Rhinolophus ferrumequinum: one gene and its partners. The protein of the gene in region 2 binds, or shares a complex with, the protein of the main gene of each other region. Links are inferred from orthologs where the notes say so. Each region holds a gene or a part of one and is shown on either strand. Other genes may lie near its edges. The genes, in order: VAMP7, BNIP1, STX5 and STX7.

Evidence for each region.
Region 1: BNIP1 (region 2) and VAMP7 share a complex: the UniProt entries of both Homo sapiens proteins name them as parts of the SNARE complex. The link is inferred for Rhinolophus ferrumequinum from reciprocal best matches to the Homo sapiens genes BNIP1 and VAMP7.
Region 3: BNIP1 (region 2) and STX5 share a complex: the UniProt entries of both Homo sapiens proteins name them as parts of the SNARE complex. The link is inferred for Rhinolophus ferrumequinum from reciprocal best matches to the Homo sapiens genes BNIP1 and STX5.
Region 4: BNIP1 (region 2) and STX7 share a complex: the UniProt entries of both Homo sapiens proteins name them as parts of the SNARE complex. The link is inferred for Rhinolophus ferrumequinum from reciprocal best matches to the Homo sapiens genes BNIP1 and STX7.

Annotation. Positions count from the first base shown.
Region 1 is NC_046284.1:5,140,823-5,148,176, forward strand, and holds the start of VAMP7 (vesicle-associated membrane protein 7), read right to left. Parts: upstream 3,021-7,354; 5' UTR 2,866-3,020; intron 1-2,865. UniProt on the Homo sapiens protein: Involved in the targeting and/or fusion of transport vesicles to their target membrane during transport of proteins from the early endosome to the lysosome. Required for heterotypic fusion of late endosomes with lysosomes and homotypic lysosomal fusion.
Region 2 is NC_046307.1:38,787,661-38,794,932, reverse strand, and holds the start of BNIP1 (vesicle transport protein SEC20), read right to left. Parts: upstream 3,009-7,272; 5' UTR 2,944-3,008; coding exon 2,860-2,943; intron 1,079-2,859; coding exon 986-1,078; intron 1-985. UniProt on the Homo sapiens protein: As part of a SNARE complex may be involved in endoplasmic reticulum membranes fusion and be required for the maintenance of endoplasmic reticulum organization. Also plays a role in apoptosis.
Region 3 is NC_046294.1:8,020,024-8,027,378, forward strand, and holds the start of STX5 (syntaxin-5), read left to right. Parts: upstream 1-4,340; 5' UTR 4,341-4,495; intron 4,496-4,706; exon of another isoform or gene 4,707-5,152; 5' UTR 5,153-5,171; coding exon 5,172-5,396; intron 5,397-6,423; coding exon 6,424-6,494; intron 6,495-6,650; coding exon 6,651-6,706; intron 6,707-6,823; coding exon 6,824-6,894; intron 6,895-7,355. Other genes in the region: WDR74 (WD repeat-containing protein 74), read left to right, coding at 1,249-1,324, 1,463-1,609, 1,762-1,863, 2,128-2,228, 2,315-2,370, 2,687-2,832, 2,913-2,969, 3,280-3,459; TEX54 (testis-expressed protein 54), read left to right, coding at 3,650-3,731, 3,838-4,049. UniProt on the Homo sapiens protein: Mediates endoplasmic reticulum to Golgi transport.
Region 4 is NC_046286.1:79,645,151-79,653,059, forward strand, and holds the start of STX7 (syntaxin-7), read right to left. Parts: upstream 3,020-7,909; 5' UTR 2,879-3,019; intron 1-2,878. UniProt on the Homo sapiens protein: May be involved in protein trafficking from the plasma membrane to the early endosome (EE) as well as in homotypic fusion of endocytic organelles. Mediates the endocytic trafficking from early endosomes to late endosomes and lysosomes.

The DNA of each region.
Region 1 (7,354 bases), on a different chromosome or scaffold from region 2:
AACAATGATGCAAATACCTCTTGGGTGGAGGCATCTTCCAGTGGAGGTTGGAGAGTTTCAGGGAACTGATTGGGGGGAAAAGGCCAAGTCAGTGTTTCTCACACTCAAGTCCGTGTTCTGAGAAATGTTTAAATTCTATAGTTTTATTTTGGGAAAATTAAAAAAAATGTATATGAATATTCTAGATCATCCACACGTATATCTTATAAATGAGAGATGGCACACAATTCAGTGTTCATTTGCATTAGGAAGGCATAGGCAGCAAGAAATTCCCTAAAATGACAATGCTTAATTTTTAATGTCTTAGAAGCATGTCTGGCTGCTCTTACGTTGGCACATTCTAAAATCATAATGACAGTCATGAGTTAAGCACTCTTGTATTCCTGTTGTTTTTAAATCGGTTATAAAGATAAAATTTATCTTTTGCAGTAATAATTTACAATTGAAATATATCTGCATGGAACAAAACTTTTAAGAACTGAGAAGTTTATCTGCTATTCTGAAAATGACAGTGAGGCAGAATAACATGAACCATACATTATCTCAGGCTAAGGAGAAAATGATACTCAAAGATGTGTTTGTACCAAGAGGAAACCAAATGATACCATAATGTGCTATATGAATAAAGGTTGTGCAACTGTTCAAACAGAAAAAAGTGGAAGAATCAACTCATTGCATAGCACATGGCAATAGTCAATGCAAAATAAAAAGCAAGCATCCTGTATCATCACTTATATTATTGCAAGGGGATGTATTATGCTAATCCTTGCAAGAGTTGATTAGCAGAATGTTTCATAGGAACACAATGAATACTAAATTTTTCCCACCCTTGTTATCATGGGACATACTATTAAATTGGCCCACTGAATGAAATGGGGGCCTGGCACGCAAGGTGCTCAGGAAAGAGATGGGAACTCGTTTTAGGAGGGAGCTAAGGAACAAGAGAAGACACAGACATGAGAACAAGCTAGAGAAGGTAAATAAACTAGCCTGATGAAATGGAATGGTCCACATTTGGTGAATGACAAGGTTTAGGGATAAATCTAATGGCCTTATATAAAGAAGGCCTCGTACAAATTAAGTGATTTGGATTGGATCAAGTAGTTTTTCTCTTTCAGTTCAACACACATGTTCTGAGGGTTTACTATGTGGCAGTCATTATAGTAGACACTGGAGACATGAAGAGCAGTGAAAAAAGACCTCTACATTCAAGGGAGTTATATACAATGGGGAAGACAGACACAAACAAATAAATGCAATAAAGCTTAATGAGTGAATAATCTAACAATGTACACAATTGTTCGGGAGATTTCTTAAAGTTCTGTGATAATCTCACCTTGAATGAAGAAAAAAGAATGCAGGTGAGAGCCTATGTATTAGGAATTTTCTCAATGTACTGTTACAACTATTTCTCCTTGGAAGAGAGTTCAAAGTGTCTATTTTATCCTCACTAGGTTCCCAGTGCCCAGCAGTGCCTGGCATATACCATTCCCTCAAATATTTGTTGAATAAATGAATGAACAGTATGTTTTGGTTTTATATATACTATAAATGACAGATAACTTTATATTCAGTAGGACCTGGCAAGAAAAATATTTTGATTACCAACTATCTCCCTAAGTAAGATAAAACAGTTGAGCTGAGAATAATCCAACCCCCAACTCTTCTGTCTGGGTCTTAGGAGGAACTAAGCCAACGACAGATAAACCACCAATTCTGATGTAATAACGCTGGGGGAGACAGAAGAATGAAGAACAAACATTGATATGACAGAAGAAAAGACGGGTATTTATGAAAAGCCTTAAGTCTGGTCACAGATCAAGACTATTCTTGTTGGTATTAGAAATATTCTTTTTGGGTGATGCTCTGAGCCCCAACCCAATTCCTCTGACTTTTTCAGGATAGGAGCCTACTCTGTCAAGTCAACCACCTGTGTTATTTTACATTCACCACCACCACCACCACATTACACGATCTTGATTACTCCTGTTTGCTCCCACACATAAACATGTAAGCTACTGAGAGTAGTGATCTCCTATGTCTTGTTTCCAGCTATATCCCTTGCGCTTAGAAGAATGTCTAGCATATATTACCTGTTCAGTAAATATCTATTAAACATATAAGTGGGTATGCTCTCAACCACAGCCATTCAAAGGCAGAGAATGTCCCAAACATGACAGTATCCTCTGGGATCAAGGGTGGGACAATGGAGGTACAGATAGTTGAGAGCAATGAATAAGACAGAAAAGGATTTGATAACTGATTGTGGGGATTATGGGAAAGGGAGATGTAAAGCATGTCCCAAAGAATCTATTACATGGTCAGAGTTGGCCAATAATAACAATGACGCCATACAGGTCTAACGCAGAAAACATATCTGGGCGGAGATAAAAGTTCCTATCACAACTGAGGTAGAAGAATGTCAACACTGGGTGGTAGAGAAAGGGCACGCAAAGGACTAGAAACCCACGTGGGAGCTCAGAAAGAGGAGATGAAGTAGAAAGTGACGTCATCGAAACAAGGGCGTAGCGAGGAGTTCTCAGAAGGCTGAAGAGATGTCAAGAGATTCAAATGCTATAGAGAGGTCTTGTAGAACGCGAGCTGAGGGAAAGTTAACATTTTTTTCCCTTCTGTAACAACTTAAGTGACGCATTCTGACACTCTTTAAGTCGAGGCCATTTCAGTGGCATAAAACGCACTTCGCCAAAACTGGACCTGTCTGACATTTCGAACTGTCGACACCAGAGAAGTACGTCACCCTTGCGCTGCCTCCTCCTCCCACCCCAGTACGTTCAGATCGACACCTCTGCTCTCCCACCGCCGTCATTTCCCTGCCTTCCGCTGAGCGCGCCCCGCTTCATTTACCTGTCCGGGCACCCTCTCAGAGGGCGCGGGCTCGGGACTGAGGGGCGCGGGTCAGCGCGGCGTCGCCGACCGCCCGCTCCCAGAGACGGTAGGGACCGGACGCCGCCAGCTTCCGGGTATAGAGCCCCGCCCGCGCGCGGCCTCCTGGGAATGTGCGCACTCCTCCAATGGCTGCGGGCGGAGGGGCGAGGCCTGAGCGTTCCCAGCCACCGTACTTCCCAGGAGCCGCACTGCATTCTGGGAGTGGTAGTTTCGACTGTCATACGCGGAGGCTGTCACACGTTCGTTCAACTCTTGTAAACAACGGCAAGCACTGTTCCTCCGGGAAAACAAGAGGATACAGGGCCACAAAGAATTGGCCAGCACTGAGTCGGCGGGATAAATGAAGAGTCGATCTTGTCCCACCATCTCCCCGCTTAGTCTCAGCAGGTTACGTCGCCTACTTCACAGACAAAATAGAATTCGTCTGACAGGAACTCCCTGTACTTCCGCCACGAAAATTTCTAACCTCCTTGGACCCCTCACAGTCTTTTCTCTCATTCTTTTGCAGCAGCAGTAGCAACAACAACAACTACTAGTACTTTGATCTAAGTTCCTCTAGCTGCTTTGCATCACTATTCCCTCCTACCAACTCTGAGGCTAGCTCCACTGATGAACGCTTCTGTCTCCCGACACTTCTTACTCGCTCTTTATTGTCAACATTTAAAGATTGTCAGAGTTTCTCTCTTCTAAAACATTCCAGAGTTACCTTTCTCAACCCTACACGCCCCCCCAAAAAAAAACACTCACCACAACAGACTTAATCTTGTGGTCTTCCTCCCACCTCTCCTTTCCAGTCAAAATTCTCAACATAGTTGCTAAAATAAATAGGCACTCTTAAACTATTACCATACTTCAATTATGTCAATTTTACATTGATTGTTTCCTCCTCCTTGAAACCTTCTCTTAGTTCGAGCCACTTTAACAAAATACCATAGTCTGGATGGCTTAAACAACAGAAATTTATTTTTCACAGTTCTGGATGTTGGGAACTTTCAGACCAGGGTGCCAGTATGGTCGGGTTCTGGTGAGGACCTGTTTCCTGGCTCACAGACTGCTGCATTCTTGCTGAATTCTCACAAGATGGAAAGACGTCATCTCTTTCATATCTTTTTTAAGGGCACTCATCCCATTCATGAAGGCTCCACCCTCATGACCTAATCACCTCCCAAAGGACCCACCTCCTAACACCATCACTTGAGGAGGGCTCAGATACATTTGGGCGGGGAGCACAAACATTCACTTCATAGGAGCCTCTAGTCTCTTAGCTCTTTCTAAGATGTTTCACTCTTCCTGGTTCCCCTCTCACTTATGTGACACATCCTCATTTTCCTTTGAAATAAATTTATGTTTCATAGGACTCTGCCCTAGACTCTCTTTTTTTTCTTACTCTTCACACTTTTCTTGGGTGATCTTAACCATTACCATTGCTTTGGTTGTCATCAGTATGCTGATTGCAAGGCCAGACAGGACTCCTATAACCCAGACCTAAATATCTCACGACAGCTGGGCATCTCTTTCAGACACCTAAAGCTTAACGTAGTACTCACTTGGCCTAATACATTTCTACTCTCTTCTCTCCCATAACCTGCTCCTCCTTCTGTAATACCATCTTGGTGACTGGCACTGATTATGAGGCACTATACACAGGGTTCTACTCTAATGCATACAGGATATACTATCCTTTAGTTGTTATCAGTTCTGGGTGGGCTATACCGTGTTTCACTGAAAATAAGACCTAACTGGAAAATAAGCCCTAGCATGATTTTTCAGGATGACATCCCCTGAATATAAGCCCTAATGCATCTTTTGGAGCAAAAATTAATGTAAGACGCGATCTTATTTTCAGGGAAACATGGTAGAGATCAAGTACATTCAGGAAATCGTGAACAAAATGATCTGGGCACTAGCAATCAAAATTAATGTCTCTGTACCTATTGTATCTCCTTCATCATCCCCCCTTTGTCACTTGATATTGTCTCTAAAACAAAACCTGATCACTTCAAAATCCTACTTAAAATCTTCATTGGCTCCCCATTATGTAGAGGATACATTCTAAGATTCAAGGCTCTCCATGAACTGATCCCTCTCTACCTTCCCTGCTTCATATTCTGCTTCTCTCACCAACACACCCTGTGTTAAAGCCTGCTCCTCTATGGTAGTATTCACTCATCCATGCATTAATTGCTTCAGGAAATGTGTACTAAGTGCCTACTGGATACTGGAGATATAATAGTAAACAAGACAGACAATGTCCTTGCATACATGGAGTTAGCACTTCAATAATATACTCTTTCACACCTCAGTGCCTTTGCACATGCTGTCCATTGTCTAAATCTTATTTATTCTTCAAGACCTGTCTCAAATAGCATCTCTTCATTTTTGAGCAAAGTATATGCTTCTTTTTTTTTAAATTTTATCCACCCTCTGCAAAGCTTTGCTTTACATATTAATTTATTTTTATTTAATACCTATACTTTGAGAGGCAGCATAGTATCTTAGAAAGAGAAATGAGTTTGGGAGCCTAAATCACCCCATATTCTCTCCTAAAGTAATATCTGTGCTCCAAAATTTGAATCTCTAGCCTAAGCCATTATATTGGGAAGTCAAAGAAGGTCTCTCTAAGGCAGTAACACTTAAGCTGAAACCTGAATGTCAAGGAGGAGTCGGCCACAAGAATATGAGAGGAAACAGAAATAAAGCCAGAGCGACTGATGGTAGCAGAAATAAGGGGAGAGTGGTAGGAGAGAAGATCACACTGGCCTTCTTTGTGTTCCTCAGATATGTCAAGTTCCTCCATATCTTATGATCTTTGCACCAGCTTTCTCTGCTTGGAGTTCTGGTCTCTCTTATCTTCTTGTGACCAGAGGGTCTTGCAAGGCTAGGAGAAGATGTTTGGATTTTGTTCTAAGTGTAATGGGAAATAATTAGAGAGGTTCAAGCAGAGGTGCGATGTGATCTGATGTATGAGTTTTAAAAAATTTATCTGGCTTCATTTAGCATGCCAATACATTGTCTATCCTAGCAATAAATTAATATGTACAGTTTTCAAAATATGTTGGGTAGTTTCCAAGAAAAAAAATGCTTCTGGATGTGTACACTAAAGTACATGCAGAACCATTGAAATAGGTGGTTTTATAATTTTATAATTTTCAAATTCAGAAGTTCCGGTACCATTTCATCAAGTGACTGATTTTTACAATCCATATTTTACATAGTTTGAGTTTATGGAGTAAAGGTTCCAATTTCCATTTCAGTTCCTGTAGCTACCAAGCCTGGAATTATAGAACTGATGGCTTAGATAGCCTATTATAATCTAATCCCCTAGTTGTACACATGAGAATTTTTCCGGTCTTGACAAAGATTACAAAGCTAAGATGAGATGGAACCTGGATTACAAATCAGCTCGCATATGCTAGATGCTCCAGAAATGTCTGTTGGACTAAAATACCACACACACACACACACACACACACACACACACACACACACCGGGGGGTGCCAAAATGTATACAAGTGGACATTTTGGTCAACGTTGCTTAAGCAGTAGTTCGCTGTAATCAGAAGTGTCTGGACGCTGATGGTAACCACTTTGAGCACCTCTTGTATTTGCAGTCGTCAAACACGACTTGTATTCACCTTTTGTTATCGGCATATATTGAGTATTGTTATTTTAATACAGTTTTTTTCCTTAAAATGTGTATACATTTTTTGGCATATATATATATATATATATATATATATATATATATATATATATATATATATACACATACACATACATGTATCTGACTGTCTCTTTGGAACCAAAATCATTCACAATATTGCAGCTTTTCACTGATCATGAGTGCTGTTTATGTCCTTTATCCTGGATATTAGGATGTGGGCACATTTTCTTCCTGTTATTCAATGCTCAAAACAGACCTACCTCAAGAATGTCTGTTCTCCTTTGAATTTCCCAATCAGCAGAGGGAGGTAACATGTTGTCAATATCTACAAAATCTTTGACCTTTTTTTTAAATTAAAGTTTATTGGGGTGACAATTGTTAGTAAAGTTACATAGATTTCAGGTGTACAATTCTGTATTACATCATCTATAAATCCCATTGTGTGTTCACCACCCAGAGTCAGTTCTCCTTCCACCACCATATATTTATTTGATCCCCCTTACCCTCATATACCACCCCCGTCCTCCCTTAACTTCTGGTAACCACGAAACTATTGTCTGTGTCTAAGAGTTTTTGTTTCTCATTTGTGTGTCTTGTTCTTTTGTTGTTTTTGGTTTATATTCCACATATCAGTGAAATCATATGGTTCTCTGCTTTTTCTGTCTACTTATAGACCTTGGGTTCAAAGAGCGTTTTATGAATTTGACTCCAAAGGCAAGGGAAGTAAAAGCTAAAATAAATGAATGGGATTATAACAAACTTAAAAGCTTCTGCACAGCAAA
Region 2 (7,272 bases):
TAGAGAAAACTATGGAAAGATACATAAGTAACAAATAAAGGTGGTTGGTTACTTGTTTGGAGAACACAAAAGGAGAATAACTGAGACTTCGCTGTGTGCCAATATTTACACACATACACACACATATGTATAAACCATGTGAGAGCAACACCCTTTCAAAAACATTAAAATGATTAAATCAGTGCTAGTGATGAAGGCAGAAAAGACACTACGTTCAGCGACACTGCTAAAATTCTAAAGTGAACTCCTATGACAAAAAGTGTATTTTCAAAACTGGGCTTGAAAACCACACAGGACATAGACATACTGTTTCTCAGGGTCTAAACGGCCAGTTCTTCTACCAGCTTTGGAACAGACTGTCTTCTTCTGTTAAGGAACAACAGTTGCTGGCTGGCATTTGGAGCCATGCGATATGAAAAGCAGAAGTCTTTAAACCTCAGTACCATATGCAGCCAGACCAGGTGCGCAAGACTCACCCAGAGATGGGCAGATCCACGCCCCCCATTTTACCCTCACTGAAGGCACAGAGGCAGCAACACCTGTACTATTCAAACTGGTACCTCTCCCTGTTGGTTTTTTAAGACGGCACCTATACCACAGTTGAATTCAAGAGTGTTATATGTGCATATGCTGTGACTGGTCACTACAGAAAACAGAAAGGAAGGGGCTGGGCAAAGCGGCAGCCTGAAAAAAACAACAACCCAGGAGACAATGGGGATGGATTGGAGACAGCGCGAGAGAAAAAGCAGTTCAAGTGACCTCAGAGTTTTCAAGTTGAAAAATTCCAAGCAAAGACGACTGGTGTCCCTGCCATCCACTTAGCACAGCTGGCAGTGCTCTGCACTCCCAGTTCCTCATTTTTACCTGGACAGCAGCTTAGTACAGTTACTCTCACTGTCTGAATGTTTCCTCAAGAACCTGGACAGCGGTGAGTCCCAGGACCAAGTCCCCTGACTCTCAGCATCTCAGTTCCGCAGCCACTCACCTGGATTCTGTGTCGTAACTGTTGAAACTTCTCTTTCACTTTAGTGTTCAATTCAGTCAGTGCACTTAATGGTCCTGAACAATCTCGAATATCCTAGGAGACATCGAAGAGGTGAGGGGCCTTTCTCAAGGCAATGAAATGAAATGACACTGTCTGTACAGTGAGAGCGTTAGCTTAGACCACCACTTAAGGTAGGCCTACTGACGTGATCGCTGCTGTTCACCTCTGCGACACAAGCAAGAACGTTATCATTTACATTTTTCTCATCCCTCTTTAAATTAATTTTGAGTAGGTAATATAAAAGGATACAAAGAAACACAACTCTGTCTCGACTTATTAGTTCCTAAAGTTTAACAAAATGCCACCCGACCGGTAGGAAAGGCTTAACGCAGCTTGTGTGTTCAATTAAAATGCACAGCCAAAAGTGATACCATAACTTTAGAGCTTTCCAACTTGAAAACCAGGGTGCTAAATTCCTGGCATCGTAGGACGAGATTGACTTCAATCTGATTCTACAAACCACCTACTATAAATCACAGTGTTTATACACATATTCTAGGGTAGACTTAGAATTTGTTTCTGAACATTCAGAATTACTGGAGTCAGGTTTTAGAGCAGGCCCTACAGCCAGACTATGTGAATTCAGATTCTTGCTGTAGCAATTTACTAACTATGTAACCTTGAAAAAGTCACTTGAGTTGTCTGGGCCCGTTTCCTCATCAACACATTACCTAACTCATAGACCATGTATGTATGTAAGGTGCTTGGCAGAGGAGCTGGAACACAGTAAGAGTGCAGTGAATCTAGCTATCATTAACCTTTCTCATCAGAGTCTAGAATTGGTCCGTTTCTTAGTTTATGCATGGGAGAAGGAAGTTCAAGAAGTTTAAATGTTTATATCAAGTTTCCTCATTTGTTCTCTGGCTTACTCATTAAATCACAATTCCTGGCACCATATGATAAACCACTAATTCAGTTTATTTTACATCTGGTTTCCGTGGGGAGCCCTCCTTTCCTTCACTTTTTGCCTCAGCTAGCTGCAAACTTTGAGCCTACGCCTGATGTTTAGTAACATTTGTGGGAAATAGAAACGACTTGCTTAAAACAGGGTTTAAAACTCTTGGTTTCTTTTGCTAACCTCAAGGAACCATTTCTACATTCCTAACTCTTGCCTATGCCATGGTTTATTGTACAGCTTTCTGCCTTTAAATGGCGTGAGCCAAAGCACCTTCAATTATCTCAGAGTAGAGACTAAGTCCCTTCTGAAGGCCGACTTTCCCCGTGCAGGTCCCAGTTTTGCTACTACCTGCCTTCTGATCCAGGCGTTGGCACTTGACTCGATTCCCTCATTTAACAAAATCACAACTACGGTTCAGGTTACATTCATTTCATCCGTGCCAAGTGGTCTTGAGTGCCACGGGGCACCGGACCCAGCGGAGCTGGCCAGCAGGGGGCAGGGCTAATGCCTCCAAAGCGCTACCAAAAAGTGGGGCGGGGCCAAGCAGGGTGATAGGTAGGTTGTGAGGTGGTCCTGGGCGAGGCGCCAGCCAGGGGTGCGGATGGCAGGGACCAAGCAGGGCCACAAAGGGGAAGCCTGGTCAGGGGAGGGGGACACGGGGGTGTCCCGGATGAGCGCGAGCCAACGACACCCGGATGGAAGCTCAAGGCCCATGGTCAAGGGGAAGAGGGTACAGAGAGGAGGTAGCCGGCCACAGAGCTACCTATGAGTGCTCGGGGCCCGTCCTGAGTCCTCCACAGCTGGGGTCCTGACCAAGTGGGGAAAGCGCGAGAGTGAGACGGCGGAGCTCCCTGGAGACCAGCGGAGCTCGGGTGTAGGGCGGCTGGAGCCCGACATGGGTCCCGGGAATCAGTACCTGGATAAGCGCCTTCACCTCCAAGTCGAATTTGACAATCTCTTGGTTACAGATCCGGACGTGGACATCTTGGGAAGCCGCCATGTTGGAGACGCCGACTACAGGCAGCGGCGGTGGCCAAGTTTAAACGCGTTTCGGCCTCCCGGTCTCGCGGCAGCGCCCCCTATAGACCGGCCCGAGGCGAGCGAGAGTGGCGGCGCCGAGTCGTGGGGACTTGTCCTTGACACCGGGGGCGGGTGAGGGGGCAGGGCGGAATCGGCCTCGTTTCTTGGTGTGGTCCTAATAAAACGGAGAGGAAGAGAAGAGGGAATATCAAGAACGCTTTCGCGGTGGCCTCTCCCCCATCTTCCGCCTATCTGCCACTGTAATGGTTACAGATTTTTTTTGCATATAGAGAGAAAAAAAAAAGATTGGAAGGAAAGTATCGATTGGGATGTCTCTGGAAGGTGGCATTAACAATTTTTAAATATTTATTTAAACTTTCTTGTATTTTCATATTTCACAGTGTACCCACTTCACGTCTCTGTGCCTCAGTTTCCTCAGAGGCTACCTGGTGGAATCACAGGGTGGGCTGAGGATTAAATAAGACATGAAAAGCACCACGCAGTGTGGTAATGCGACATGTGGTAAGAACACAATGCACCTTGACGGCTATTATTACACTTCGGGAACACTTCCTCTGTACCAGGTACTTGTACTAAGTGCTTTATGTGTATCATCTAACTTAACTCGCATAACAACCCCACGAGATAGAATTATCCCATTTTACACACGAGGAAATAGGCAAGGAGAATAATAACTTTGCCCGGCGCAAATGGAATTGCCAGGTCCAAGGGTATGTGCATTTAAAAATTCTGCTACATGCGACCGAACTGCTCTTCACAGAGGTCATTATCAGTTTATACTCCCACTAGCATGTGGTACAAATGCCTGCTTTCCCACGGCCTTGCCAACATGATGTGTTAACAAACACTGGGATTTCTGCCAATTTGATTAAGTGAAAAACGCCATCTTTTATTTTGCATGTTTCTTATCATGAATGAGGTTGAGGACTATTTGTATTGACTTATTGTTGGCTCATTTCTCTATTGGGTTGTTGGTCTTTTTCATATCAGTTCCCAGGAGCTTTTTGTGTATTAGGAGGATTATGCCGTTAGCCGTGAGCTTTTTTCTTCGCCTAGAGAATGTTGAGTTAGTTGGCTTACGGTGTTTTTTTGGCCTTCAAGGTTTAAATTTTTTGCTTTATTTTTGTTCCACATAGAATTTACCAGTCTTTATGACTCCTGGATTTGAAATCCAAGTTAAAAAGGCTTTTCCCCCCACCCACAGGAATTGTTTTTATGATTTTTAATTTTTTTTATTTTACATTAGATCTTTACCCATTTTGAAAAGTATGTTGGCTTATGATGTGAAGTGTAGAGCCAACTTAATTTTTTCTAGAGGGTTACCCAGTTTTTCCAACAGTATTTTCTGAAGAATCTTTTTCTCACAGGTTCAGGATGCCACATTGACTAAATTCTTATGTTTGAATCTATTTCTGTCATTAGCCTGTCCATTCATTCATGCACCAAAATGACACTCACAATGATAGTTTTATGTATTTTACTATGTTGGGATTGAACACCCCCTTTTCTTTCCCCAGCATCTCCCACCTATTCTTTTCCTCATGTGAACTTAGTTTTGTTTTTAACCCTATTGGTATGTCCTTCCTGGGATGGCATTACATTTTTTATTTAACTTAGGAGAACTGACAGCTTTGTTCTCTTGAACAGTTTCTTAGACTGTTCCTGTTCAAGAACTTGGTCTATCTGTTATTTGTTCAAGTTTTCTGTGCCCTTAGTATTTTCAAGTTTTCTTTAGACCTCATGCAGTTCAGTTCATTCCTGGCAATGTTCAAATTAAAACCTTTTAAAGAAACTGAGGTTGAGATTTTTCAGGTCATACGTTCTGGATCCCCAAACAAAAGCTCCCTATTCCAGACAGTGAAGAAGCCCAAAGTCTGCAAGTGACAGATCTGCCCATGTGAGCTGGGGCCCTTTCACATCATGCTTCTTGCTGGAAATACCTGTGCAATCAACAGTTCCCAATTGCCTCTCTCAGCAATTTAAGAAGAAAACACATCTCCCCATTTCTCTACTCTCCGACATACTCCATTCTAACAAAAAGACCCAATTCTAAGCCTGCCAGCTAGCGGCCATCTTTGAGAGAGAGGTTTGCGATTTGGTGACCCACTGCCAAACTGCCAACGCTGTTTTGTTCTCATCGCCTTTACCCACTGATCCTGAGACTAGCTTTTGGTTACTAAATGTGTTAGGTTTTGACTTTAGTCCTTTCTGGTTGTCAGATTCTAAGCCCATTATCTCCATTCCACACAGACATCCATCCAAATATTGCCTGTGACTTGGCCTTAGGAGTGTGAATTGTTTCCGAGTGCAGCAAACAGACGGAGTTTGAATTGGAGCTGTTATATGTTGGGTCCGGGGTGAGTGCCCTTATCTGAGTCTAGTTGATGACCACCCACTTCACTGGGCAATTGAGAGCAGGAGCCGAGTTCTCTGACAAGACAGCACTGAGCAGGGGCTTCATGAATGCCACCCTGACCATCTAGGACTTTCTCACGCCTTCTTGCTGTTCTGAACCTTCCAGCTGGGACATTAAAAGATTTCCCAGCTAAAGTTTTTGTGGCTAAGGAGCTTTCCTGGCTCTGAAATCAATGTTGATGAGCAGGGACAACTGAATGACCCATCTAACTGGGTGACACAGGAGGTTTAGTTGTCTAAGGACTAGACAGACCTGACTCACCCAGCTCCTTCAAGTTCCTAGACCATGAAAGAGGCTCCTGTGAAGAGTGGTCTTGAGGTCAAGTCCTGAAGCACAACCAGTCCATGGGAGGCTATGTCCACTTTGCTTCCTGACGGCCTCTGTGTCACTCAAGGGAAGCAAAAAGGGCTCCTCTTCATGGGTCCAGGCATGTAAGGAACACAAGCCTGTCAATTCTTCTCTAACATACCCCACTGGATGTGGTATCTGTGTCCTTGCAAATAACTCGGCGGTAACATATCTAGAGCCCTTTGCATGTGTAACAACTCTTGTGTTGTTCTGTGGTCCTGTTCACAGGCCACCTCCCTCAGCAGACTGGAAGTCTCTAGTCTCCTTAGAGCCCAGTACCTAGGCACAAGTCTTGGCAGAAGGAGCAAGTCTGTTTGTTCGCTAAAGGAACTCACTGCTACAGTGGTCTCCCAACTGAAGGCTCTATGTATGTCCAGCCTAGCTTGAGGACTTACTTGGAATTATTAAACACACAAAAACCTACAGATGTTTGAACGAATAAGAAACAAAATATTTAATTTCCCTCAGAGAAATCACTTGTCCAAAGAATCAGAGGAGAATAACTATACACTAAACTATGCTCTAAACTATGAAGAATGCAAGTGTTATCAATAAATAATTCTACATTATAGATAAGTTTTGCTAAATTACTGGAGGAATCAGCCCACAGTGTCAAAAAAAAAAAAGTTAGCTCTTTGTACACTACACCAAGAAAAGGGGGGGGGGGCGTGATCCATAGTTCATTGCTGTCTTTAGTTTGGAATTTATTTGCAGTGGATTTTCTGGAAGGGAGTTGATGGTTACCTTGGTAAGCAACAGAAGAGCAAGAGACAGAAGGGCAAAAACATGAGGCAAACAATTCAAGAGCTTTTCTTTTCATCTTTTTTTATTTTAAATTACAAAGGATGTTGCATACACTGATGAATCTGTATCTGACTAGAAGTGCTGAGGGCTTGGAAGATGACAGAAAACAAAGGCAACAGCTGAATTGCCTTTTCTTCTGAAAAGAAAAACTGCACAACTATTAACCAACATTTAATAGAATAATTTTTAAACAGCTCATGCGTCAACAAGATAAAATTCTTTCTAGACAAAAGACAAGACTGAATCCAATAAAAAGTTTCATAGCTCCAGTTGAGGGGGGTGGGGAAACAAAACTACAGAATATTTATGATAGCGTTACAAACAGGATCCTACACAGCTATGCAAGAGAGGTTGCCACATTGTATGAATAAATGCTTTGAATTCTTGCCCTTCCACTCTTGTGACTTATGTGCGGTCAGCCCTCGTATCACTGTTAACCACAAATTCTAAGTTATAGGACAAATCCTAGGGAAAGAAGGTAAAAAAAAGCAGGCAGTGGAGTACAGTGTCATAAAAATGTGGTCAAAGGCAGATACAGTACACACATACACATTTCTGTTATTTGGTTCTGAAAAATAATAGGGCGAAGGGCAAGACACAGTAATCAGTCCCGCTCCCGTCCCCCCAGAATTCAACGACACCATTGTGTTGACAGTTACGAAAGGCAAACCTAGTTCACCTGAACTTGGCACACCGAAATACCCAACTCGGCTGTTCTTG
Region 3 (7,355 bases), on a different chromosome or scaffold from region 2:
ATTTTTTGAGTGACCCTGAGCAAGTCATTTAATAGTTAAGAGGATGTTTTTAAACGGGGCTAACAACCACCAACAAGGTGATGAAGGTCCCAAAGTAAAGGATAGGAAAGTGGTGTCTTGGGTTAGGTTACCGGCCCAGCTTTCTTCCAAAGATGGAGAGAGGAGGTTGTGAACAGGCTGTGTGTGTTTGGTAGTAATAATTCTGACAGGCGAGGTCTAGGAGGCTCTGTGTGGGTGAGATGTTTGAAGTGAACCTTGAAGGATTGGTAGAATTTGGGCAGGTGGAGAAAGGGGTAAGGGCATTCTGGGAAGAGGCTACTGCCTTGGCAGAGGCCAAGGATTGATGTCTCACTACAGGGTACCTTTCAGGGGCGATCAGTAGTATTTGGGGGTTGAAGCTGAGGAAGCGTTTTAATACAAGATAGGCAGGGTAGGTTGGGTTTCATTGTAAAGGGCTTTAAATGCCAGGCTGAGAGATTTGTACATTTGTAGGTGGTGGGGGTTACTGGTTTTTGAGAGGACAGTGCTGTGGTCAGAGCTGTGAGCCTGTAAGAGTGTGGAGGATAAATTGGAGAGGAAGCAGTTCAGAGACTGTTGCCATAATCCAGGGAAGTGATACAGACCCTGAACCAAGGTGGGAGGGTGAGCAAATGTGAGAAGGACCATAGGTTCGGGCTGTACAGCTCCTGGGGAGAGACTTGCTTGGGCTTTGTGGGAGGGGTACTTTGAGGGAGAGATCGACATTTAGCGTCTGGAACCCAGAACATGGAACTCAAAAGAAGCTGGTGTCTGACTTTGGCCAAACCCTAAATCCAAACCAGTCCCATTTCAGTCCTTTCAGAGTTATTGATTCTGACTCCCTGGTGTCTGACTCAAGAGTCAGAAAGACCTGTGGGGCCGGGTGACCCCAGATGGAGCTGTGGAATACAAAGGCATTCTCTGCTTTGGAGTATCACAGACTTGATTTCCAGCTCTGGTTCTGACATTCACAGCTCAGTGGGCAAATCTTTTAATTGCTCAGAGCTTGTTTCCTCACTTATAAAACTGGTAAAGCCTCCCTCTGTTGAGGAAATTAAACAACGGGAAGCTGGAAGCTGCCAAGCCCTGTCCAGACCAGAGTTGCCTAGAGGCTTCCTTAGGAACAGGCCTGTAGGAATTTAGTTTAGTTAATTTGGGGGTGGGTTGAAGGGAGCCTAGAGGATACTTTCACTTTTTTTTTTTTTAACTAAGTCTATCTTCCCTCTGCAGCACCCTCATCACATGTGTGGATTCTGGGATTCTTCGAGTCTGGGGTGACAATGACAAGGAGACATCCTCCGGCCCAGTGAGGCTCCCCTGCCCTGATCCCTGTGGTTGGGGAAGGAGGGGGCCAGGGTGGGAGCTGAATGAAAGCTTTGGGGGAAGAGGATTAAGGACTCTGGAACTGACTCTCATCCCTCATCTCATCTCCCATTCTTTTCAGCTCCTGGAACTGAGGGTGGGCCCTGGGGTGTGTAGGATGCGCCAAGACCCAGTGCACCCCCACGTAGTTGCCACGGGTGGGAAAGAGAATGCTTTGAAGGTGTGGGACCTGCAGGGGTCTGAGGAGCCTGTGTTCAGAGCCAAGAATGTGAGTGATGGGTGGGGAGGGGCTGGGTCTGAGGTCCAGGGAACTGAGGCCATTATGAGTCAGAGACCATGGCTTTAGGGGTGATGGAGGGCCGAAGGAAGGGACACATTGAGCACCCCACAACCCTGCCCCCCATCTACCCACCCCACCAGGTACGGAATGACTGGCTTGACCTGCGAGTTCCCATCTGGGACCAGGACATACAGTTCCTCCCTGAGTCACAGAAGCTTGTCACCTGTACAGGGTACCATCAGGTGAGAGACCACCCCATCCCTACCTCCTGGCTTAACCTCCCAACCTGGAGGATCGCTTCCCTCATCCCTGTCCATTTATGCTCCTAACGGCTCTCCCCCAACCCCCTAACACTCAGAAGAGGGATATATTTCAAATGAGAAAGTTTCTCTAAGAGTGGGTTATAAACAGCAAAGCAGTATATGAAGGGGGTGTTGAAGACGTGGGGAAGCCATAGGGGGGTATGTGGAGTGAGGGTACCCTGTGATACCGCAGTCTTCCTCCAGGTCCGTGTCTATGATCCAGCCTCCCCCCAGCGCCGGCCGGTTCTAGAGGCCACCTATGGAGAGTACCCACTGACAGCCATGACTCTCACTCCTGGGGGCAAGTGAGTGTTTAGAGGGCAAAGAGTGGGGTCAGGAAGGACTCTTGGAGGCTCCTGCTGACCCCACTTTCCTCTGACCTCCTCCTCAGTTCAGTGATTGTGGGGAACACTCATGGGCAGCTGGCAGAAATTGACCTTCGGCAAGGTAGTGGACTGGGGAGCCTTGGGGGAGGGGAAGGGTAGGATGCCCTCTAAGGCACGACAGTAGAGCGGTTGAGCCCTCATTCAGGTATTAGGTTATCTGAGTTCAAATCCTGGTTTCAAAAGCTGTACGACCTTGTACAAATTACTTTGACTCGCTGTGCCTTAGTTCCTTCACCTGTGAAATGGAGATATTAATGGTAATTTCTACTTCAGCGTTATGTTAAGGATTAAATATTGAAATGTAAAGTGATTTGAATAGTAAACAATAAATGGTTGTTGGCTGGTCAGCTGGCACTGATGCTTACCCCCTTCTCCAGGGCGCCTACTGGGCTGTCTGAAGGGGCTAGCGGGCAGTGTCCGAGGGTTGCAATGCCACCCTTCAAAGCCCCTCCTAGCCTCCTGTGGTTTGGACAGAATCTTGAGGGTACACAGGATCCGGAATCCACGGGGCCTGGAGCATAAGGTGAGAGCCTGCTGCCAAATGTGCCCCCATTCATGTTTCTATTTCATGCTTGGTTCCTTAAGGTACCTCATCTTTTGCAGGTTTATCTCAAATCTCAACTGAACTGCCTTCTCCTGTCAGGCAGGGATAACTGGGAGGTGAGCAGTTGTGTCTGGGAATGTGGGAGCCAAGGACGTAGATGTGAGGATTTATTTCCCTGTGGGAAGAAAAAAGGAAGCAGCTGGAACAGAGACCTGGGACTATCCATCTACCTGTCGCATTACTTAATTTTTGTGAGGAATGTTAATAGTTACAGTCCTGACAGGGTTACTGCCAAGGGTGACAGGAACATGGGTGGGAATGAGTTCCCAGAGCAGGAAATAAAAGTGATTGTTTCCCAGCTAGAGCCTCCTTCCCAGTGGGTCTATGACTGTGTCCTTGACACTGAAGCTCTTCTCCACTCACCAGGATGAGCCCCAAGAGCCTCAAGATCCCAGTAAGGTGCCCCTAGAAGACACAGAGGCAGATGAACTTTGGGCCTCTTTGGAGGCTGCTGCCAAACGGAAGCTCCCTGATTTGGAACGGACCCCAGGAGCTCTCCAAACCAGAAAGAGAAACAAGAAGCGGCCTGGCTCCACCAGCCCCTGAAGAGCCTGTGTTCACTTTGTAAATAAACAGCTCGACACCCACCATGACTCGGAGCCTTTTGTGATGGTAGAAATGAAAGAGGGGTGGCTGCTCTCTAAGCTGAGGCGATGGGATATCTGACGTCACAAAAGCCTGGTGAGAGCCAGGTGGGCTGGAGTGGGTGGTACCCAGTGCCGGGCTTGCACAGGCCATGGGCTGCTGCCAAGACAAGGACTTTCAAACCTCCAAGGGTCACGCCAAGGAGGCCCAATCAGAGGAAGTGGAAGAGGAAGGTGGGATGAGACACACCAGGGGACCCAGGGGGCTGGAGAGGGGGAGGGCCCAGGAGGTTGGACGGGGAGGGTAGAGCTGAGCTGAGCAGCCTTGTCATTCCCGCAGACACCGAAGGGATTGATGTGGACTCGTCGGACCACCAGAATCCCAAGCGTAACAAAAGCCTGTTGATCACCGTGCTGTGGAGGCGGCTATCCATGTTCAGCCGTCGGGGCTCCACGCGGTCAAACAGGAGGCAATCAATCCAGAATCAAAAGCATGGGTGTATGTTACAGAACAACGCGGAGAAGGTCCTGGAGGAGCCGGAGAAGGGGTGACCCCAGCCCTGCTCTCAGTTCACCCCATTCAGAGAATAAAGTTTCTAACGTGTACTTGCCGGAGCGCTTATGCTTCGGCTGCCTGCTCTGGGCGAACAAGGCACGGGAACCACCGGGGCTGCGGTCTCTTTAAGGCTCCTCCGCTGAGGCTGGCCCAGCCCCCTGGGTCCAGGCTCTGGTTCCTAGGGAGCGGAGTCAGGGGAGAGGCCTAGCCAATGGGAGGGCGAGAGCCTCCCATTGCGTTTGGGTGGGGGGCGTGTCCCTTGGGTTGCCGAGTTCAAAAAGGCGTGGCACCGCCTCCTCGTCACCGGGGGTGGGGTTACGTGTGGGTGACGTGGCGGCTTCTAGTCTTTGGTCGGGTTTCCGCGGCTTCGGCGCCCGGGGAGGAGGTGGTGACGACCCGGGAGATTGTGGTAGCGGCGGCAGCGGCAGGCGGCAGAGAGGAGGTAGGACTCGCTCTAAGAGGGGTCTGGCGGCCGTGTCAGCCCCCGGTAGTGGCTTTCCGGAGGTGGCGATGGGCGGGGGGAAGGGAACTAGGGGCGCGCGGACAAGTCCTGCCGGCCCGGCTCCGGGTGAGCGAGTACCGCGCCGTCCAATCAGGAAAGCTCCTGTTGAGAAAGACGTCGGCATTACCTAATCAATAGTTGCCGTCTTCCAGAAGGCGGGGCTTGAGCGGAGGTGGGACTTCCTGTTTCAAATAAACACCCAGAGATTTCCCCCCTCCGCCCACCGAAGTGTGTACCCCTCCGGAGGTCGGTCTTCGTTTCTCCCTGAGGAGTCGAAGAAACCCGTGAATACGAGAGGGCCCAGTTAGGGCCTACGGCAGATGCACAGACTGGGCTGGAGCCTTGGGTCCACGGGACCTGCCTTTAGCCCTGTCTCTGCTTCAGGGACCCCGGCCCACGTTCTGGCTGCCTGAGCCAAGGTGGAAGAAGAGGCTGAGGAGGGGAACGGCTTAGGCCGGAGAGGAAGCGGGGGGTCCTGCCCATTGAGGGCCGGCCCCAGGATCTGAGGGTGGCTTTGGGACCCAAGGATTTGCTGGTTGGGGGGAATTTGTGGGGAAGGAGACTGCCTGGAGAATGACACTCTCCCCTCCACAACAGTCCGAGGTTATGCGTCTCAATGATCCCGCGGAAACGCTACGGGTCTAAGAACACGGATCAGGGTGTCTACCTGGGTCTCTCAAAGACACAGGTCCTGTCCCCTGCAACTGCTGGCAGTAGCAGCAGCGACATCGCCCCTCTGCCCCCCCCAGTGGCCCTGGTCCCTCCCCCTCCCGACACCATGTCCTGCCGGGATCGGACCCAGGAGTTCCTGTCTGCCTGCAAGTCCCTGCAGAGCCGTCAGGTAAGGACCAGAAGTGGGAAAGGCAGGAATGAGCTTTACTCAAATTTGGGAGAGGCTGTGCTCCAGCACTGTTGATTGATGTAATTTTTTTTTTTTTTTGATTGGAGTAATTTTTGTCGGAAACTCTTGGAGAACTGATCAGGCTTGCAGGCTTGGAGGGGGCAATAGAGAATCTACTAAGAGGTGGGCAACCTATCTAGAGGCAAGCATCCAGACTTTTTTTGTGAGGAATCCCCTGGAAGGTAGGGTTGCTATTCTGGAAGGAATATCTCAGGATGAGAGGTGGCTGCAATATATTTCGTTTGGATAAGGAGCAGGTTCTCAAAAGAGCCTTTAACCCAGAGACAAGCACTTTGAGTTCTAGTTCTGGTGGAGTTCTACCACTATTTGCTCTGTGACCACGGGGAAGTTAGTTGGACCTCAGTTTTTATATATGTAATTTTTATCAAACTCACTTTGAAGTGCTTTTCTTAAAAATTGCTTTCCCTTGTCTCAATCCGGACTTTATGAATCTAAGTGGGATCTGTGTGACTGTAATTTTATTAAATATTTTTACTGCTCAGCTCTTGTTAGCAACTGTTCTTCTGTATGAGCTTTCCAATTATCCTCTTCAATTCCCTGATTGGAGTACAGTGGTAGAGTGGTGATAGGAACTATTATTTATTTGGTGTTCTCAATGTTCCAGCTATTTGGCTAAAATACTTTGCAACCGTCTTCTTGTTTAATCTTAGCAACGATAATATGAGGTGTGTGGATTGTCTTCATTTTATAGAAGAGGAAACAGATTCAGAATGGTTTCAGTAACTTGCCCCCAACCCCCCAGTTAGTAAGTGGTGGAGTCAAGATTTGAACCCAGGTCTTCCTGTCTTCAACTATGGACTCTAAACTACTGCTACTGATAAAATTAGACCGTCTGGTGGAGGATGCCACTGGTACTAGACAGAGAGTTTAGTGGACACCTGAAAACAGTGAAAGCTGGAAATGGGGAGGGGGAATTAAAGTTTCACCTGTTGACATTGCTTTTCAGAATGGAATACAGACAAACAAACCAGCTCTGCGTGCTGTCCGGCAGCGCAGTGAATTCACACTCATGGCCAAGTGAGTTGGGAGAAGTTATGTGGTGTGCTGATACAGTGTCGGAGGAGAAGTGGGCTTGCCTTTGGTGGCCTGGCAGTGAGGGCAGGATTGGTTGTGCTGGAGCTAGTGTGGAAATAGACCCTTTCCCACAGTGTTCTCACTCTTGCGTCTTTACAGGCGCATTGGGAAAGACCTCAGCAACACATTTGCCAAGCTGGAGAAGCTGACAATCTGTGAGTGTTCTTGCGGTGTTTCAGAGATGGGGCAGTGAACCAAAGAGGGCTGAGGAATTGACTCCCTGAGCCTTGTCTTTGACCTCACCCTTCTTGCCTTCTTGTTTGTCTCTGCAGTGGCAAAGCGCAAGTCCCTCTTTGATGATAAAGCAGTGGAAATTGAGGAGCTAACGTATATCATCAAACAGGTGAGCTACTAGCTAGCAGGAGAGCCCAGCACTCCTGTCGGGTCACATCCATCATTTTCCATTGCCATGGAGACCCAGAGCAAGTTCCTAGAGCCAGCCCAAACATCCTGCTCATCCATTGAGTCAATAGAAACTTACTGATCATCTGCTGTATACAAAGCGCTGTGATGAGCACTTGCCTTACAAACATGAGGCAAGATTTCTGCCTTCAGGGGCTTATTGTCTAGAAGAGGTAACCAGCCCCATAAACTCAGACTTACAGTGAATAGGAGGAAAGTGTGCTGAAAAGATCATACAAAAAGATAAATGAGATAGTCTAGGGACACTGGGAAATATTTCATAGAGGAGGTCAAATCTGAGCTGGTTTCAAGGTTTGTGTAGAGGCCGTGGAAGAACATTCCAGACAGAGGAAACAGTGTTTGCAGAGGCATGGCGTGTACAAGGGAAAGCTCAAGTCTTTG
Region 4 (7,909 bases), on a different chromosome or scaffold from region 2:
CCACCTGCAGTGCTGGGGCTCACACAGAACAAGGCTGGACCTGGGGATTCAATGAGACCAACACTCTCCCAAGCATCCTACAAACCACCAATTGGATTTCTAAATCCTGCATCTTTTCTCTTTTTTTAGAGCTTTAGTGAAATATAATTCACATATCATGCGACCCACCAATTTAAAGTGTACAGTCCAATAGAGTTTGAAAATATTCACAAAGTTGTGCAACTATCGCATCACATTTAGAACCCTAAAAATAAAGCCCATACACATCAGCAGTCACTTCCCCTTTCTTGCCAACCTTCCGAGCTGTAGGCAACCACTAATCTACTTTATGTCTTCATAGGTTTGCCTATTCTGCACATTTCATTTGAATGGAATTATGTAATACATGTTCTTTTGTACACTGGCTTCTTTCTCTTAGCATGTTTTCAAATTTCATCCATATTGCATCATGAATCAATACTTCATTCCTTTTATTGCCAAATAATATTCTACTGTATGGATAGAGACCATTTTCTGCTGGCTCAATGACATTTTTCTTTTTCCTTTCCTTCTATCAACTAGAGCTCTAGAAAAACTGGCACACAGCCAACACAAACACAGTGAATGAGGAAATGTTCCTTTTCTTATTTATGTACTCTCTTAGATGGGCCCTCCATCGATATGCACAAATACATCTATACACAAAGCAACAGAAAAGTCAGTTTCACTTTCTTAAGCATGAGGACCAGCGTAAAGAACTGGCCTTCCCTCCACCTCATGTCCCAAAGTGTGAAAATATATTTCTGTCAAAATATAGCATTTGACGGAAAAAGCAATGTTTTTTTTCTTTATATCTGAATTTAAAGAAAGTAATAATCTAAAAAACAAGAAGAAGAGGCATCTTGAAATATTTTATGTGTTTTTAAAGGTCTTTCTATAAACCAATTAATGAGGGGCAGGCAGTCTATTTTGTTGACTGCTGTATTCTCAGTACCTGGCTATATAATAGGTGCTTAATAAATATTTGTAGAATACTGAATACAGGTACCTATTTCCTAAAAACACACAACCAGTTTGAGGGTAAATATCACCATTTCTAAGACACTGAATTCCAGCACCTTCTTTCAGATCCTGAATGTCCCAGGCTAATTGCTTCCTTGGTGCCATTTCCTACCCCTAGAAAACTCTTCCCATGACCTCCATGTGACTGGCTCATTTTTTCCCAGCAAGGTCTCATCACATGCTAGGGAAGTCTTCGGTGACCACTCCCATCTGAAGTGAGATGTCACCACCCCGGCACAATCTGTTGATCTCTCTAACTTACTGTATCATAGTGCTAATCACCATCTAAAATGATCTAATTAGTATATTGCTTATTATCTATCCCCACCTCTGGAATATACATGAGAGAGAGAACCTTGGAATTTAGTGTCAGGTGCATGGCAGATGTTCCATGAATGGAAGGGTGATTACTCTATGGACCTGAGCATTCTCCAGATCAACTAGATTAACCACGTTCTTTATCTCAGCTCTTCCATCTGTTAAAACAGTATATTATTTGGCTTTAGTTCACAATACAAAGGATTATTTTTCATCCTTCCATACACTAAGTTTCCAAATTAAATAGAATCACGGCAAACTTTACTCAGACTTACTTCAGGTTTTACACATTTTTCAACCACTGGCACTTGGCTAACGTTTGTAACCCTAACCAAAACTACATTTGACTTTGTTATGGGGAGCAGCCCAAGTGAAATATCTAAAGAAAAATGATGCAGACGTTAATGAGTTAACACGGTATCATATCAACTTCTACAGAAACTTTGAAACTAGAGCATAATTCTGAACTTGTCACAAGTAGTTTGAGACAAACTCCTCAAAGTGGCCTGTCAAGCAGAGGTCTGTTCACATCACAATGCACAGTGTAACCGTGCTATCAGTTTATGCCGAGTGAGGTTCAGGCCACCCCTCAGAAGAAACCTGCACTCCCAGCATTACTAAACAGAACCGGACTTCATAATCATTTCCTTTTCTTTCAGATTCTGTGCAAGTTAATATATACATTTACCGGAATGAAACAAAAATGAATGTAAGTAAGAGCCAAGCAAATACAAGGCACTTGAGAAAAAAAAAAAAAAATATATATATATATATATAGCATTTGACCAGAAAAGCACTGTTATTTTTTTCTCCAAGTTTGATTTGAAAGAAAGTAACCTGAAAAACAAGAGGGGGAGGTATCTCGAAATATTTTACGTATTTTTAAAGATCTTTATATAAAGCAATTAATGACATGTACTGAGAAGACCAAGTTAGCTTTATCAAGCCAAATAGAAAATCAACAATGAGTCCCTGAATAAACGTATACGGTTCCTTTACTGTAGCCATATGTTTTTAGTTCCTTTATATCCGGGAAGAGAACTTTAAAATGTGTTTTCTAAATCCGAGAGTTAAAAAGAGGAAGAGGTCAACTCGTCTTCTGCTCGAGGCCGAAGCTGGATTCCTGGATTCCTGAGCAGCAGCCGGAGTCGGCTCCCGGGCGGGCTCCGCACGGGGGCGCGCAGCCCGCAGGTGCGCCTGAGTGACCGCGGCACCGCGCGCCCGAGGGGCGGCCGGGGAGGCGGCCAGGCTGCCGGCGCGGGGCTGGCCCGACGGGCCGGGCCTCCAGGCCGCGCCGCCGGACCCCGCCGCGCACCCGCGCCGAGCCGGGGGGCGCGGGGAGCGGCGGGGGTTCCCAGAGCTGGGGAGCAGCCGCCCTCCGCCTCCCGAGCGCCTGCAGCAAAGAGCAGGGCGGCGGCCACCTGACATCCCGTACAAACAGGGAGGCGCGGCAGCCGCTGGGACACTGCGCCTCCGGGACTCCCGGCCGGTCACCCTCCCTCCCCCAGGTTCCGCTTACCCCAACTTCCTCGGCTTCCTCCTCCTGCTCCGGCCACGGGCACCCAAAGGCCCCAGAGCCCCCAGATACGATTCTAAACTGAAGGGTGCTGGAGGTAGGCCGCCCACTGCGCATGCCCGCAGTACAGCCCAGGAAGGAGGCGGGGCTCGCTTCCCTCCAATTGGCCGCGGGATGAGTGACCGCGGTCCTCTCCCGCCCCCTCGTTCTAAGCTAAGGAATGGGGGTATCAGCAAAATTGCAAGGGAGGTGTTTTTTGAGGCCTGACATACAGATGGTGAACGCCTTAGCTTGCGTGCAAAAAACGAGGAGGGAATGGAGGGCAGCTGTCTTCTTTATTGGGTGATGCCGGCCTCTCTTGATGCATGTCTTCAGCCCGCCCCATCAGCTCATGCCTGTCTTGTTTCCTAACCCTTTACTCTGCAGTAGACCATATTCACAGCTCCAGTAAAAAAACAAGGGGGGGGGGGGGACACACAAATGCACAGTCCTAGCAGGAACAATGGAAAATAAGTGAAGAGTCACCTTTATGTGCTCATTTAGTAGACAAGTTTTCACAGCATGTACAAATCATTCCAAGCATCCTTGAAGGACAGGACACAGTTTTCATATGTTTGAAAAGAACAGAGTGTTATAATAATATTCAAACATAATGTCATTGTTAGATAAAAAGCATCAGTTTCTTCAGGTGAAAGAAATACCTCACCAAATTAAGTAGAAGATAGATTGGCTTGGCCTTTGCTTATATTAAGGCAACACTATTTTCTGAAAAGATCATCAGAACATCAAAAGTCCAGACGCACTTAGGTGGGAAAAAAAACAACAGTATTTTGAATTGGTACCACCTGAGCCAATTTTAGGTTGTTTGGTATTACACATACATAATCATATCGTACATAAGTCAGGTCAGCCAGGGATAAGAAACACAAGAATCTTTCAGTTTATCTTTCATTTTTCCACCTTTAACAGAGAAATGGGAGCAAGAGATATTTTCTATTTCTCATCTTTATTGAAGAAAACTACACTGCAAGTGTGATAATAAGCAGCAACTTACACTCTGCCTCTGTAAAGAGGGACCAATAGAAAGAGGTGGGCATGCTGGCCAAGCAGGATGAATTTATTGATAAATGAGAGGTACAGATTGACTTCTGAAAGCTTGTTTTTGATTTAAAACACAATGGGAAAACACAGATGCTTTCTTAAATCTGTGCTATATTAAAAGTCAGCTAAAGTAATACCTAATAAACAACAGTTGTTTTGTTATGATTATTTTGGAGCACCTCCGAGCTCCCTCTGCAATCTGCTTGTTTTCTTTCTAAGACCACACAGGTGCCTAGTGATATGTCAAGCACAGAACAGATGTTGCTCTGATTTTTAAACACAGAGGTAATAAATAGGCATCCCACAGAAATCTTAATGGACATTTAACCCATGGTCGGTACGTTCATTTCTCATTTCTCACCTCCTAAATATTGTTGATATGTGCCCTCTACTCTCTATCCCTCACGGTGTCTGGATCCACTTCAATAGCCTCCTCAATGGCATCTCTACCTCAGGTTGTACTCGACTTTATTATCTTCTGAGTCACCACTGAGTATTTGAAGCACAAAACTGAAAACATCACTCCAGGCTTCATGCCATCCCCATGGTTGCAACATGCCCCCAAATGTACTCCTTAAAAAAACAAAAACAAAACAAAACAAAAAAAACACTCCTTAAAAAAAGTAGGGGTGCTTACTGGGTTGTATAGGTTGAGGAAAGGAATTAGGGAAGAGTGTGTATGGAGAAAGGTCTGGAAACCCATGGTATAATACATTCTTGAAGATTCAGAGTGCATGTTTGTAAATTATAGGCTCTGAGAAGTTGTTCAGTAAAAAAAGAAGAACTTTCTTTAACCTGGTATTTTCTAAATGTATTTGACCATGAAATGTTTTTATATTTAATGGCTATAAGTTCCTGCAGAATATACATTGTGGAAAACATTGCTTTCAAAATCAAGTCCAAGCCCCTTATTATAGCATATAAATAAGGTGATCATGCGTCCAGTTTTTCTAGGACAGTCCCAGCCTATGCTTGTCCCAGCCTCTTGTCTGCAGAGAGCACCCACTTTCATTATCAAAAGTGTCCCATTTCGGAAGCGATGTTATATGGTCACCTTATATACGAGTATAAGGACCTACATGATCTGGATCCTGCCTTCCCCTGCATGAAAATTTATGCTTTGGAATATGCAAGTTTAAAGAACTTCTTCATCTCTTTCTGCTCCTCCCTTCCTCCCACCAGCTGTCCAACCACACACCAGAGGTTATCTTATTTCTGTGCTTTGCTTATGCAGTCTCCTTCAACTAGAATATGTTCTCTCTCCCTCCTCATTTTAAAGTAAACTCTTTATTTTACAATAATTATAGACTTACAGAAAAGTTGCAAAGATAGCACAGAGTTCTTATACACACCTTACAGAGATTCTTCTAATGTTAACATCTTCCATAATCATGGCGCATTCGTTAAAAGTAAAAAAAAATGAACCTTGGTAAAGTAATATCAACTAAACTATGACTTGGTTTGGATTTCACTAGTTCTCCATTAATGTTGATTTTTCTGTTCCAGGATCCAATTTAGGATATCATGTTGTATTTACACAGCTTGCTTTCTTGGTTTCCTACAATCTATGACAGTTTTCTGTCTTCCCTTTTTTCTCATGACCTGGACACTTTTTAAAGACTACTAGTCAGGAATTTTGTAGAATGGTCTCAAATTAGGTTTGCCTAATGTTTTCACGTGATTAGACGGGGTCATAGACTTTTGGAAAGAATACCATGGAGGTAAAGTGTTCTCATCATATCATTTCATGTGGTACATGAAACTTGCATGATCTATGACTGCTGCTGTTAACCTTGATCACCTGGTTAATACGATGTCTGTGAGTTTTCTCCAATGTGAAGTTACCATTTTCCCATTTCCATACTATATTCATTAGAAGAGAACTGAGTTCTATTCAATCAAGAGAACTGAGTTCCACCTCTGGAATGAAAAAATGTAAAAAAATTTATGGACATATATTTAAACTACCACAGTAAATAAATATTGGGAGAGAGATACTTGGAGGCCGTGAACATAACCTACATTTCCTTAAAGTTTTGCCCACTGACTAGCATTCATTAGTATATTTTGCCTACAGCAGTTATTACTGTTGTGTTTTAAAGGTGACTTTCTACTTCCTTCAGTTCTTCTGTAGGGAATATTTGTCTTTTCTCCCAAATTCATTTATATTTTAATCATTTATTTATATCAGTATAGATTTATGGATATTTATTTTATTCTGTAGGTTGTAATAAGTTGCCTCTCCATCACTGGGAATTTTTTTAAGTTGGCTCCTGTGTCCTTTTGAGAGCACCTCCCTCCCCTTCTCTTCCCCAGCATTTCCTTACTTGTTGGTACAACAAGATGCTCCAGGCTTATCTTGTATTTTCCCTGCTCTGGCTCTAAAATCAGTCATTTTACAATGAAGCCATTGTTTCTTTGACTGGAAAATGGTATTTGTATTCAAAGATCTGCACTCTAGCTTTCTCATTGCTACTGGGGTGTCGATTGCTTCTATGCCTTCTCAGTGCACAGAGCTAAGAAATAAATGTAAGTATATTAACTCATGTATACACATGTATCTATAATTTTATCTGTATATATATATATACATACACACATATATACATATATATATATATAAGTGTATATATATGAGTTCATATAGATATTTCCAACTGTAATCCAGTTCACAGGGTTCATTCTAACATTCCCGGCTTCATTATTGTTCACTTCCTCTCTCTAACAGTGAGGAACCTAGCTCCCATTATCTAATTCAATTACTTATTGTACAATGTAGTTTCAGAGTTGCTAACTCACGCTCCGGTGAGAGAAAAATTTGAGTACAGTGTTTATGAACAATTCTTTTGTCTTTAGCCTTACAATGTTTTTCAAATTACCAAGATCAGCTTTTTTCCCCCACTTCCATCAGTGAAGTCATGTTTGTATTACAGTCAAGTTCAATCATCATATTGTCTGCATTCTGTCTGGTGTTCACCAAGCACACCTGGTTAAATTTTTTTTTTTTTCAGTTTGAGTCAAGTTCCCTCTTTATGGTATACAATTCTATGGAATTTTGATAAATGCATGGAGTCATCTATTCATCACCCCAGTACCATACAGAACAAGAACAGTGTCATCTGCCTAAAATCCCCTTTTGTAGTACCTTTAGTCAACTCCTTCCCCAACCTTTGGTTTTCTGTCCCTACAGTTTTGCCTTTTCCAGAATGTCATATAAATTGAATCATACAATATGTAGCCTTTTGGACCTGACTTCTTTCATTTGCAGCATGCACTTAAGACAAATCCACATTGTTATATACATTAACAGTTTCTTCTTTTTATGGCTGAGTAAGTAATTCTATTATTTGGATGTAAAACTGTCTATACATTCACCTATTGATTGTTTCCATTTTTGAAAATTATGAATAAAGCTTCTATAAATATTTGCATACAGGGTTTGATAAAATTATAAGTTTTAAATTCATTTGGGTAAATATCTAGAAGTGGGATTATTGGGTTGTACATGTTTAATTTTAAAAGACTGCCAAATTGTTTCCAATTTAGCTGTATCATTTTTCATCCCTAACAGCAATGAATGGGGGATTGCTGTTGTTTTAAATCCTTTTCACCATTTGATATTATTAGATTTTCTTTTTTAATTTTATCCATGCTAATAGGCATGTAGTGGCATCTCATTGAGGTTTTAATTTCATTTCCATAATGATGTTGAACATCTTTTTATATGCTTATTTGAAACCCATATGCTTTCTTTAGTGAGATGTTGTCCATCTTTTAGAGCAATTTAAAAATGAGAGAAAAATTTATTTTACCTTCATATGTTTCATTTCTGAATCTTCATTTCTTTGAGTAGATCCAAGTTTATAACTTATGTCATATTCCTTTTACCTGAATGAGTTTTCTTATCTTAGACTGAAAAGGGCAAAGAAAGCA